Linked DNA regions of Sus scrofa. The protein of the gene in region 1 interacts with the protein of each later gene in a pairwise test. Links are inferred from orthologs where the notes say so. Each region holds a gene or a part of one and is shown in the gene's direction. Other genes may lie near its edges.

What was found.
Region 2: the proteins of MCMBP (region 1) and ASL interact in binary tests that used the Homo sapiens proteins (3 or more experiments, as listed by UniProt). The two-hybrid records come from large-scale screens. The link is inferred for Sus scrofa from reciprocal best matches to the Homo sapiens genes MCMBP and ASL.
Region 3: the proteins of MCMBP (region 1) and PRTFDC1 interact in binary tests that used the Homo sapiens proteins (3 or more experiments, as listed by UniProt). The two-hybrid records come from large-scale screens. The link is inferred for Sus scrofa from reciprocal best matches to the Homo sapiens genes MCMBP and PRTFDC1.

Annotation. Positions count from the first base shown.
Region 1 is NC_010456.5:129,739,334-129,743,698, reverse strand, and holds the start of MCMBP (mini-chromosome maintenance complex-binding protein), read left to right. Parts: upstream 1-1,493; 5' UTR 1,494-1,704; coding exon 1,705-1,762; intron 1,763-4,365. UniProt on the Homo sapiens protein: Associated component of the MCM complex that acts as a regulator of DNA replication.
Region 2 is NC_010445.4:16,636,099-16,640,298, forward strand, and holds the start of ASL (argininosuccinate lyase), read left to right. Parts: upstream 1-1,382; 5' UTR 1,383-1,498; intron 1,499-1,680; 5' UTR 1,681-1,723; coding exon 1,724-1,735; intron 1,736-3,596; exon of another isoform or gene 3,597-4,200.
Region 3 is NC_010452.4:50,455,765-50,459,076, forward strand, and holds the end of PRTFDC1 (phosphoribosyltransferase domain-containing protein 1), read left to right. Parts: intron 1-174; coding exon 175-251; intron 252-1,471; coding exon 1,472-1,519; 3' UTR 1,520-2,723; downstream 2,724-3,312. UniProt on the Homo sapiens protein: Has low, barely detectable phosphoribosyltransferase activity (in vitro). Binds GMP, IMP and alpha-D-5-phosphoribosyl 1-pyrophosphate (PRPP). Is not expected to contribute to purine metabolism or GMP salvage.

The DNA of each region.
Region 1 (4,365 bases):
CATGGGTTTGATCCCCAGCCCAGCACAGTCGTTTAAAGAACTAAAGTATCCAGGGATGCTGCAATGTAGGTTGCAGCTGTGGCTCAGATGCAATTCCTGGTCTGGGCGCTTCCATATGCCCCAGGTGCAGCCAGACAATTGGAAAAAAAAAAGAAAGAAAGAAAAAAAAGTTCTCTTTATGGCTTGGTGGGTTAAGGACCAAACATTGTCTCTGTGAGGATGTGGGTTTGCTCCAAGCCCTCACTCAGCGGTTAAGGATGGATGGGACATTGCTGCAAGCTACAGCGTGGGTCAAACAAGTAGCTCGGATCCGGTGCTGCTGCGGCATAGGCAGCAGCTGCAGCTCGGACTCAACCCCTAGACTGGGAACTTTCATAAAGGTGCAGCTGTTTAAAAAAAAAGTACTCTGCCCCCTGTATTTGCAAATTCCGCATCCTCAATTCAACCAACCTTGACCTCCCCAACCCCCACCCCACCAATGGGGAGAATAAATAGTTGAAGATGACAAATAAAAACACCCCCTTTGGCCCCTAAGAGGTCTTGAGATCTGAGCTCAGTTCTCCAGCTGCCCGCTTTCTGGGCTCCATTCAGATCCTTCCTCTCTTAACACGACCTGTTTTCAGCTGATGAGCAGGGTTTTCTCAGACCTATTCCAGGCCTAGGGGAAACTATTTCACTACAGAACTTGGGTATTTCCAAATTTCCTCATTCGAAGGTTACTGTTGACTTATCTTGTGTGTGCTACCACTGTCTGAGGGTATCCTGACACATTCTGCAGGAACCTCCCCAAAGCGCACTTTCCAGCTTCTAGGCAGGGTATATTTTCACAGTTATGAACTTGCCTCTCACTTAGGACCTAGTCCCTCTACAAGGCCTGAGATGGCAGCAAAGGGAGCTTGCAGACTTTCAAATTCCCCTATCTAAACACACACCTGCCTGGGGGGCTGAGACTTCATCTGAGGGCAAGTCACTGCATAGGGTTTTGGGCAGGGAACGAAAGAGAGTTGCCATCAGAAAAAAAAAAAAAAAAGAAAGGCAATTAGAGGAAGGTGGGCAGACACGAAAGGCTGCTTTATCCTCTAATTTTGCCCAGAGATAACTTTGAAGTCTCTTTGGGTTTGTGCTTTTGGACTGCTACAGCCTCCAAACCGTGCAAGGCCTCGCATCATGAAAAACGAACCGGACTTCGGGAGTCTCCCCCTTCGAGCTGGCAGCGAGAGACACCCAGCACCACTCGCCTTCAGCCCCCGACGCCAGGGTCGGAGCTCCGGAGGCCGCGCCTGCCCTTCCTTTCGCCCGTCTCCAAGATGGCGACCGCTCCGCCGCCGCGGCCCCGCCCCGGGCCGGCCGGCCCCCCGCCCAGTAGGCCGGCCCCGCCTTCCCGCCCGGGGCCGCGCAGCGCGCTCCCGCCGCCCCTCCCCGCGCGAGCTCCACCCAGGTCGCAGGCAGCGCGGTCGGCGGCGCCTATTTCCCGCCATTGTGCGAAGTGGAGGCTGGGGGCTCCGCACGCGGCGCCTGCCAGTAGCCGGCAGCTCCTCGGCTGCTGCTGCCACAGCCGCTGTTCTCTGAGGCGCCGGGAGGCCGAGCGGCCGGTGCCGCGAGGCTCACCCTGCGTGGGAGGGCGCGGGCGAGGAGCGGCCGAGCCCCCGAGGAGGAGCCGCGGCGCGGGACGCCGGGCCGCGCCGGCTCCGGCCCGTCGGCGAGATGCCCTGTGGGGAGGATTGGCTCAGCCACCCGCTGGGGATCGTGCAGGGCTTCTTCGGTGAGTGGCGGCCCCGGGGGCGGGCCGGGCGGGCCGCCGAGTTGACCGAGCCCCGGGCCCGGCCCCGCTGCGCGGCCCCACGCGGGGCCACCTCGAGGGCTCGCGCGGCCGAGACGGTCAGCCGGGCCTGCGCCGGTCCGCCTTAGACACCCCGGACCGCGGGCCGCGGCTTCCCGGGCCGGGCCGCAGGTGCCTCCCACCTGCCCGATTCGCGGTTCGCGAGCGGCCAAGGTTACGCGGCGAGGAGCTGGCGGCCGGCCGTGATTGACGGCCCGGCTTCCCTTGGTGGCACTGCTGGGGCCCTAGCCCGGCGGCAAAACTCGGACGGGTCCTTGAACCTTGGGGAGGGCTCGCAGAGATGGGGTGAAGGAAAAGCACTTTGCCTATGGGAAGCCTGCGGGGTATTTCAAAACTTCCGGTGTGTCGGGGGAGTGCTCGCTCGCTCGCTCGCAGCAGAAGTTGGCTCCAACTCCTGTATTACACACATCCTCGCGTTTCGAGATAAGATTTAGTGTAATAGCTTCATTTTTCTTTTGGGATGCCTTTAAAACCGCTTGGTCTCCATCTCCTCCTTGTGCCAGAGCTAGTAAGAAATGTTGAACTCCTTAAATGCGTTCCTACATAGAAAGAGCTCAGAATGTTGCAGACAGGCTTAGTAAATTTTAGTTGGAATTATCGTCAATGCCACTCTTCTGCTAGGGTCCACTAAGGAAAATTTAGGTTTGTTTGCCGTTACCTGGGCATTTTGGCCCTACTTTCCATGTCTTTTGCACTTAGGAGGGGTGGAGGCAAACCCAGCCAGCAATCACTGTTAGATCAGAACACCTGACTTGTCAGGAGGTAACAAAGTTGTAGGTAGAGTGGCCTTCATCACTTAAGGCATCGTGGGATATTAATGAGAATGCCTATTAAGAAGCTAAATTGTTTCCAGCAGCCGAAACTGAAGGCAGAAAATGTATGTATTCCTTGTGGGAAAGACTCACTCAGCAATTCTTTATTCATTTTCCTTATAGCTTGAACTAGTATAGCTATCTGGTTTCCTAGGCAGAAGCTAGAGGCAGCAAATTAGAAGGCCTGGGTTGGCATCTGGATTGTAGCTAATGAGGAGTGACAATCTGATAAAGAAGAAATTAAATCTGTATGTAGCTTAAATTAAAAAACAACAACAGTGTATATCCATCAAGGGTGCTTTTGAGGAAGGGGCATTTATCTCTACTATATACTGGTAATTGTTGTTTATAATGAGTATGGGAACTTATCATTGATTTCCAAAATAATGGCCCAGAATGTGGAGTAAAGATTAAATTGCAGGGAGTATCCATTGTGGTGAAGTGGAAACGAATCCAACTAGTATCCATGAGGATGTGGGTTTGATCCCTGGCCTTGCTCAGTGGGTCCAGGATTCAGTGAGAGCTGTGGTATAGGTCACCGACACAGCTCAGATCTGGCATGGCTGTGATGTAGGCATGGAGCTGCAGCTCCTATTCAACCCCTAGCCTGGGAACTTCCATATGCTGCAGGTGTGGCCCTAAAAAAGCCAAAAAAAAAAAAAAAAAAAAAAAATTGCGCAATTGGCTTAAGAGGATGCAGACTCATGGGTACTTATTCGGAAATGTCTTTCAAAAGTAAGTTTTTGTGGAGTTCCCATTGTGGCTCAGCCTTAACGAACCCTACTAGTATCCATGAGGTCTCCAGTTCCATCCCTGACCCTGCTCAGTGGGTTAAGGATCCAGTGTTGCCGTGAGCTCTGGTGTAGGCTGGCAGCTGCAGTTCTCATTTGACCGCTAGCCTGGGAACTTACATATGCTGTGGGGGTGTGGCCCTAAAAAGATGGAAAAAAAAATTTGTGAGAAATACCTCTACCCTAGTCTTGCTGGATAAATTAGATTATTTTATATTTGGTATAGATTCAAATGTATTTGTGTCAGATTTTATCCCCTATGTGTGTGATCCTAAGGGGGCATGTCACATTATAGTACAAAAAGGGTGTACTTTGGATATAAAATACTGGATTTACAGCATTTGTAAAGTTGGTGGGCTATTGTGGGAACCTGCACCTTGTTTTATGTGTTTGCTCTGGAATGTCTTATTCTCATACAGATTGTGTCTTACAGAGAAGAAACTAATACTGTCTTACAGTTGGGATGTTTCTCTGGAAGCTCTTCTGGCGTGTAGTATATATTTTTGCTCTATTTTCCCTACACTGTGCATATATTGAATATCTATAATAATAACAGCATTGCAGGTATGTTTGTGTGGGAAGTTAGGTGTTAAGCTTGTGGACTCTTTGATTTAGTAGGAAGTTGTTTTAAATCCGTTTTCCCCCAGATAGAAAAGGAAAGCTCATCTGTTGTGGTTTGTGAGACCTTTTTGGCCCCCCCTGCCCAGCTCTCGGACGTCATTACTGTATCCCCCCTCATATTGAACCTTTTTTCAGTTCTTCAATTTTGATCCTTGCCTCTGCGCCTTCTGTACAGGCTGTTTCCTTTGCCTGGTCCTCCCTTCCTATCCCACTTCTACTTTCCTGGCTAAGTCTTACTCATCCTTTGGGAACCTGAGTTAGGTACCTCCTGCTCCAAGTAAAATTATAGGATCCAGTGTGG
Region 2 (4,200 bases), on another chromosome or scaffold:
CATGCACCCGCATGTTCATTGCAGCACTATTCACAATAGCCAGGACATGGAAACAATCCAAATGTCCATCGACAGATGATTGGATTCGGAAGAGGTGGTATATATACACAATGGAATACTACTCAGCCATAAAAAAGAATGACATAATGCCATTTACAGCAACATGGATGGAACCAGAGACTCTCATACTGAGTGAAATGAGCCAGAAAGACAAAGACAAACACCATATGATATCACTTATAACTGGAATCTAATATCCAGCACAAATGAACATCTCCTCAGAAAAGAAAATCATGGACTTGGAAAATAGACTTGTAGCTGCCGGATGGAAGAGGGAGGGAGTGGGAGGGATCAGGAGCTTGGGGTTATCAGACACAATTTAGAATAGATTTACAAGGAGATCCTGCTGAGTAGTATTGAGAACTATGTCTAGATACTCATGTTGCAACAGAACAAAGGGTGGGGGAACAAATGTATACATGTAAGGATAACTTGATCCCCTTGCTATACAGTGGGAAAATAAAAGGAAAAAAAAAAGAAAGTTAACTATTAAAAAAAACAAAAAACAAAAAAGTCTTTTCTCCCTATGACCTATGGAACCAAGACCAAACCTTCTCCTTTGACATTCAAGACCCTGACCTGCCCCAGCCTGCTTCCCACCTCTCCTCCCCACCCCTGTCCTCAAGCCCCTGACCCTGTGTGATAGGCTCTCTGACGGTTTCCTGTTCTCCAAGCAAGCCATTCACCTTCTGGTCTCTGGCCTCGAGGACTTTGCCCAGGCTGCTCCCCCTGCAGGGAATGTTCTAATCCTTTTTCGCTGAGCTAAAAGCAAAATGACCCATCTTCTATGACGCAGCTCAGGGGACATCTCCCCCAGAATGTGGCACTTCCAGGGCAGAAGTTCGAGCCTGTACTCCTGGCGCCTAGAACCCAGGCTCTCATTCGTGCTGAAGTCGTGTCAAGGACCCCTGAGAACCCCCAGATAAACGCCCCGCCCTGCACTGCCCTCTGTGCTCCCTGCACACCTTGTCCACGCTTTGTTAGAGCTTCTTGACGCAGGTATCATTTCTTCAGTGTCTAACTCTGTATCTAGTGCAGAAGAGGTGCCGGGAACGTGCTTGTTGAATGAATGAAAGATTGGGCATGCCATTTCACCTTATACCTCTAGTGAGCCCGCCAGGCCCGGCCCAGTGTCTTTGCCTCTATCCCTAGCCTAGGTCTCCCTCCTGTGCCCGCGGCAGTCTGCAGTCTCGAGCACGGTCGCTCAGGCACCACCCTCACGGTTCCCTACCTGTGGTGGATCAGCCCCGAGCAGCTCGGAGGCGGCTCCGCCCACAGTCCGGATTGGAGGGAAGAGGCAACGCCCACCAGGCCGGGCCGCCAGGATTGGTGCGGCTGCTGCCAGGAGGAGGGGGCAGAGCCAGGCAGGGGCTGACGCTCCCGGCCAGAAAAGCCCAGCCGGGTGGCTCCGAGAGACGCACGGCGCAGCCTGGCGGTGGTGAGTGTGCGGCTGGACAGGCGGGGCGGGCGGGAGCGGAGGACGTAGAGGACCCGGACGAGCGCGCTAGGGCTGCCCACGTCCGCCTACACCAAGCGCCGTGCCCCAACCTGGAGCCGCCTCGCCCCAGGGACCCCCGGCCAGGGGGCCGAGGAGGTCCTCAGTCCTGTCCTGTCTTCCAGACCCGGAGGACTGAGGCTCCCGGACGACGAGGAACCGCCCAACATGGCATCAGAGGTTAGTGGGACCTCGGGGACGCCTATCTGCCGAGCCTCCAAAGGAAGGGGTGGGGCGCCCTGGGGGCCGGTCGGGGCGTGACCTGCGCAGGCGATCTTCCCGCCGCCCTCCTGGTAATTGTCTTCGCTGGCTCCAGGCGGTGGGTATCCCATGGCGCACCTGCCAGAGCCCCAGGAAAGAACTTTGTCCTGACTTCCCGGTGTCCCCACCACCGTCTGCTCTCCCTCCTCCCCTGGCTAACCTACCAACTCACACGGCTGAGGAGGGTGCCCCTGACCTGACTTGACAGTGGTCTAAGCCAGGAGGAAAAAGGTGCTGCCCACTCGTTCAGCCCCCTTACCTCCTCATTCCTCCCCACCCCACCCCGTCAATCCCCATCGTGTTCCCCTCTCCTGGTAGCAACTGGTGCCTGTGTAGCAGAGTCCACGTGACTCTTGCCTGTGTTAAGAGCCGGGAGGTAGGGGACTGTGCCTTGTGGCCCCAGTACCTGGTGGCTTCCGGTCTCACTGGCCTCTCCCCCTCAGAGCCAGAGGACTCCTGGGTCCTGACAGTGGCAGGAGGCCAAGACACAGGTTCCCTTCCTTGGGCCTCAGTTGATGTATCTGGCAGATGGGAATAATAACAGCTGTCTGTCTGCCTCTGTGAGGTACTGGATCATGAAGTCATTGCTTTGAACCCGTCAGGTAAAAGGGGCTGTTTGCTCCATCCCAGTGAAGGGAATCCTGGGCCTGGGGAGCAGGAGGTCTGGGTTCCAGTCCCTTCTGGCCCTCCAGAGCTGGCAAGTCACTTCCTCTTTGGGCCTTAGTTTGTTCTTCTGAGTAAAGTGGCTAAGACCACCGGCCCTGCTGGCTTCTGGGTCATGGTGGAGGGTCTATGGCAGGGCCTGGACTTTGGATTCAAAGAGACTTGGTTTTTGAAGTAGTTACTCAACCTCCCTGAACCTCTTTCCTCATTTGTAAAATAGGGGTAACAGTGCCCACCTCCTGGGAGGGTGTAATAGCGTCTGGAGAGTGCCTAGCACAGGGCCCCACAATAGTAGGTGCTCAATAAACGGTGTTAATGACACGAAGAGTGACAACACTGCTATTCCCCACGGGTGTTCAAAATTGGCTGTTGCTCACTCATCCCAGCCCAACCTGGTGTCCCTGTGCCCTTGCCCCAAAGGGACCCTTCTGGCCCAGATGTGCTCTGGCTTACAAAGCCCTCTCCCACCACCCGGCTCCTCACTCAGTGCCCAGGAGGTGGCACCTCACTCTGACATCCTCCTGGGGTCCTTTTAGGCCTGCCAGTGGGATAGAAGCTCGGTCCGATGCGGAGTAGGTCCAATGCGGAGTAGGCCTCCTTCAGGAGACTCTGCTTGCCCCAGGCTGTCCTGTGGGTTGGCACTAATTGGTTTGGCTGCAGCCCCACTTGTTAAGTAGTTGTTATTACGAACAACCCATGAAGGGAGTCCAGGGACCTGCTGGGGAGGTGCTGCCCAGCCACTGGCTGAAAGGCTGACTCCCTGTCCTGACTGGCTGGCCCTGCCTGGCCCTCTGACCCCCGTGCTGAGGACCAGGGAGGGCCTCACGTGGTGCTTTGCTGGAGGTCTAGGGTTGGCTGGGCAGTAGAGGGCTGAGCAGCGGGTCCAGCCTCTGAGGGGCACAGAAGCTGCATCTGCAGGGCAGAGTCCTCTGGCAGCCAAGGCTGCTGCACACTGAGGGTCAGCTCAGAGCCTGGGTCCAGAGCATGGTGGAGGTCTCGATGGTGCCAGGAGTGGAGTTAAGGCACACCCAGACCCTGGCAGCCCCCGGCCAAGAATTTACCTAGAATTTACTGTGCTCTGTGTGCCATTAGCTTAATCTAATTGAACGCTCGCAACTCCATCAAAAAGGTGTTATTGTTATTCCTAGTTCATAGAGAGGCAACCCCGAGGGTTAGAGAGATTACACAACATACGTATGGTCAAGAGGCTAACACAGGTTTGGGACACTGCCGGGGGACAGAGGAGAACATATGCCCCCGGAGGCCACTGTAAACCACCCCTCCACAGAAAAGATGTCAGTGAAGTAACATGTCCACCTCCGCCCAGCACCCCCTCCTCCCGTCCTTGACACATGTCCTTGGCATACCTCCCTTGGCATGCTGGGCGTTTCACTGCCCCTCAGGGGTTCTGCGCCCCCTCCCCCATCTGTCCCATGCCCTGACCTATGCCCTCTTTCAAAACAGAGGTATCTCTGTCCCATCCCTCTGCCCTTGGCTCCAGGGGGGCAGAGGGTCAGCCAGTGACCTCCCAGAAGGCAATAACAAAGGGTGCCTCAGGGGGCTCTCCAGAGGGGGAGGGGGACGCTGGGAACCTAGCCCCACCCCCAGCTGGGGGAGGGAGACCCAGGCAGCGTGAGACTGAGGGGGCCCCTCAGGTGCCTCCTCGCTGTCCCTGAAGCAAAAGTTCAGAGCAGCAGAGCAAGCAGAGGCCCTGATGGGGT
Region 3 (3,312 bases), on another chromosome or scaffold:
TAGTCACTCCAGTTCAGGTCTTATTGGGCTCATCGTATGCATTGCTGATCACTTTTTCCACTTATTTCTGCCTAACGGAAGGTCCTCACAGGTTAAATGCCAGCAATAACATATCGTAGGCTTTATACTTATTTAAATTGTGTTCCTTTTTTTTCCCTCTCTCTCCCTGCTCAGATGCTGGATTTGAGATTCCAAACTTATTTGTTGTGGGTTATGCCTTAGATTACAATGAATACTTCAGAGATCTGAATGTAAGTCTTGCATGCAAATCCCTAGCCCCCTTTTTACAAGAACTTAAGAGTGGTATCAGTTTAACACATTTTTGAAATAGTTGTAATGATGGCTGCCGTTTATGGTGTATCTTCTGTGTCAGGAACATTCTAGGCACTTGGCATTCATAATCCCAGTGAATCCCAGTGAATCCCCAAGGTAGGTGTAGCATGGTGGAAGCAGTTATGATTATCTCTCTTTTGTACTCAGGAAATAAGGACGTTTAAAGCAGAACCATAGCTTGTTAGTGACTTTTTTCTCCACAGTCATCGACTGTGTCTCCACCCCACTAGAATAATAGTTGATATTCTATAAACTACTTTGTGTCAGTGCTTGAAATTTAGAAGATATCAATTACAGCAGCATGTGGCTCATGACTATTCCCCACTTTTGGAGAAATGATTTTAAACACGTAGACGTGGGCCCCCGGGTGTGTGACCCTGGCTGCTGATGAAGGACCCAGAGGTAGACGTCTTACCCAAAGTGCATGGACCCAGCAGTCTCTCCCTCTCTCCCCTAGAAATTAGACACAAACGAAAAGCCGCAGAGACCAAGGGATTTGGGCGTTAAGCCATGGGCTGAGGTCTGGAGCGCCCCCCAACCCCGTTCCTGCTTTCCAGTTGCTTCATTACTCTGCTCTTCCTCTGCCTCTGTGAGCTCTTCCAGTCTCTTACCAACAACACCCCACTTCCTTTGCTGACAGTAACCTGACACCATTTCTGTTGCTTGCCATCAGAATATTTCTGACACGTTTCTTCCTACCCAAAAGGGCTCAGAGGAGAGTCAGCACTGTGATTACCGTGGCTGGTGGTCCACTCATTGCAGGAGTTGTAATTTCACTGGTAGGAGACGTATGTCTCCGTCACTGCTAACTGTAATCTCCCACCCTCAGCATTTCTGGTTGTTACAGACCTACAGAGTCAGATTCAGAAAAGAGCTCAAAACCAAAACAGAGAGGAAATCTTTGCCAAGCATTTTAACGGGTCTCTTGAGATTTTACATATATGTGCATGTATACCTATATTGCATGTGTATGTATATGCATATACATATAGGTATGTATACACACATATAGATACGTATGTATTTAAATGAACAATAGTCAAGTACAAGATAACATTCTGTTCTCTTACTGCATCCCATTTTCTGCACCTCATATTGTGTTAAGAAATTGATGCATTTAAATCCTTTATTGTTTCAGCACATATGTGTGATCAATGAACACGGCAAAGAAAAGTATCGAGTCTAAAGAAGTAAATTTTCGCCATCGAATCGGCAGATAACATTCCTACTTAACGACTACACTCAGGAAGCCAGCATGTAAAGTTTGTCTCCCAGGCATCTTCACTCAGCAGGATTTAAAAGAACAAAAAAATTTAATGAGCAGGCTTTATTTTCTGAGATTATAACTATAACGTAAAGAGTCCCAAAGGTTCTTCAGGAAAAGAAAGCAATGCTTTTATTTGCCTTGTTTCAAATTAAACACTCCACCTTGTGACTCATAAGTTCCATCTACCTTCACACCCCTGAGATATACTTTCTTTTGTTTTGATAAAGTCATTATGGGTGATTACTATACCCCCACCTACTAACTCAAATAGTTTTCACTTAACTATTTTTTTTAAATACTCTACTTTACAATCTTAAAACCTAGAAGCCTTTTATGTGAACCTCTGAGCCCATACGCTAGAAATGCAACTAGATTCCCACACTAGTAAAGGAGGGAAAGGACAATTTAATATAAATTTCTGTTTGCGCACTTCTGACAGGCCGTTATTATCTGCTTTGACAAAGCCTCTCTGAACAGCCGCATACAGTGAATCTTAATGATGTTATGAAATAGGCCTTTGCCAGTGCTCTTGATCGGAGCTTCCGGTACGTGATAAGGGTATGTCATGTATGCATGGATGTGTTTAATACTCTGAATTTTAATTAGAAAAAATACAATGGCAGAAAGCTCTGGTTTCTAAGGGGCATCCTTTAACTCATGTGGGACATGAGCAGAATTGTGGGGCGGGGAGAAGTGTTTTCAATGCTCAAAACTAAGCACGTATAAATTTTTCCTGTGTTTCCATCAGAGGGCAGGACATTTTTCTGTATTATCCTAAACATGAGCACAGAGGTTGAATCATTTCTTTAAAGTGGCCTTGTAAGACTTGATCCCACAATCCAAGGCACCGTAGAAGACTTGGATACTTAAAGTTTTTTCTGAGTAACATTTTTTTCTCCATTTCCACTGTTTCATGAGATGTTTTCTAATTTATGGGGATTTTAATTGAAAATAAACTTGAGTGCCAATGGAGCCGGGTTTTTTTTCTCACTTCCTAAAAGGAGCAAATGCAAAGTAAATAACTAAGCAGACTTTGTTTGGTTCTGAACCGTATGTGGTATATTGTTATCAAGTTCCAGCTTCCTTTAAACTAATAAAGAATAAGAACACTTGTTACGTTTCATAACTGCTTACTGTTTTTCTTCCGCCGTCATATTTTTTATATACTTTCCGCCATTAAAATGTGTGTGAGCCAGTAGCTTAAATATACTGCTGCATACATCTTCCCTGTGGCTTTATTTTTGTTAACCTGGAAAATATCCAGTATATGCACCAGTATAAGCAAACGATTAAGCCAGGCTTGATATGCTGCTTGCTGCTTTTTTTTTTTTTTTTCCCTTCTTAAGCTTATTTGTAAGAACAAGGAATTTTATTTGTAAAGGAAGATTTTCCTGCATATCTTTATTCTAGTCAAAGAAGAAAATAAACCACACCCAGATATCCCAAGGGGCAAAGCAGCAAAGGGAATTTCTTCTAGCTTCGTTCCGCAGAAACATTGTTATCCAAGTTATAGGTTGATAATTCCAACTGGCCAGTTTCTTGAACTATCAAAATTAATGTTCTAAATATAATTTTTCACCCTGCCACATTTATAGCAGAGGACCTAGAAAAATCCAAACACATTTGATTTTAAATATAAACTTAGCCACAACGTATATAGTATTAAAGTATTTTCTTTAAAATGTTGCAATTTAGTAAACATCATTTTTGAG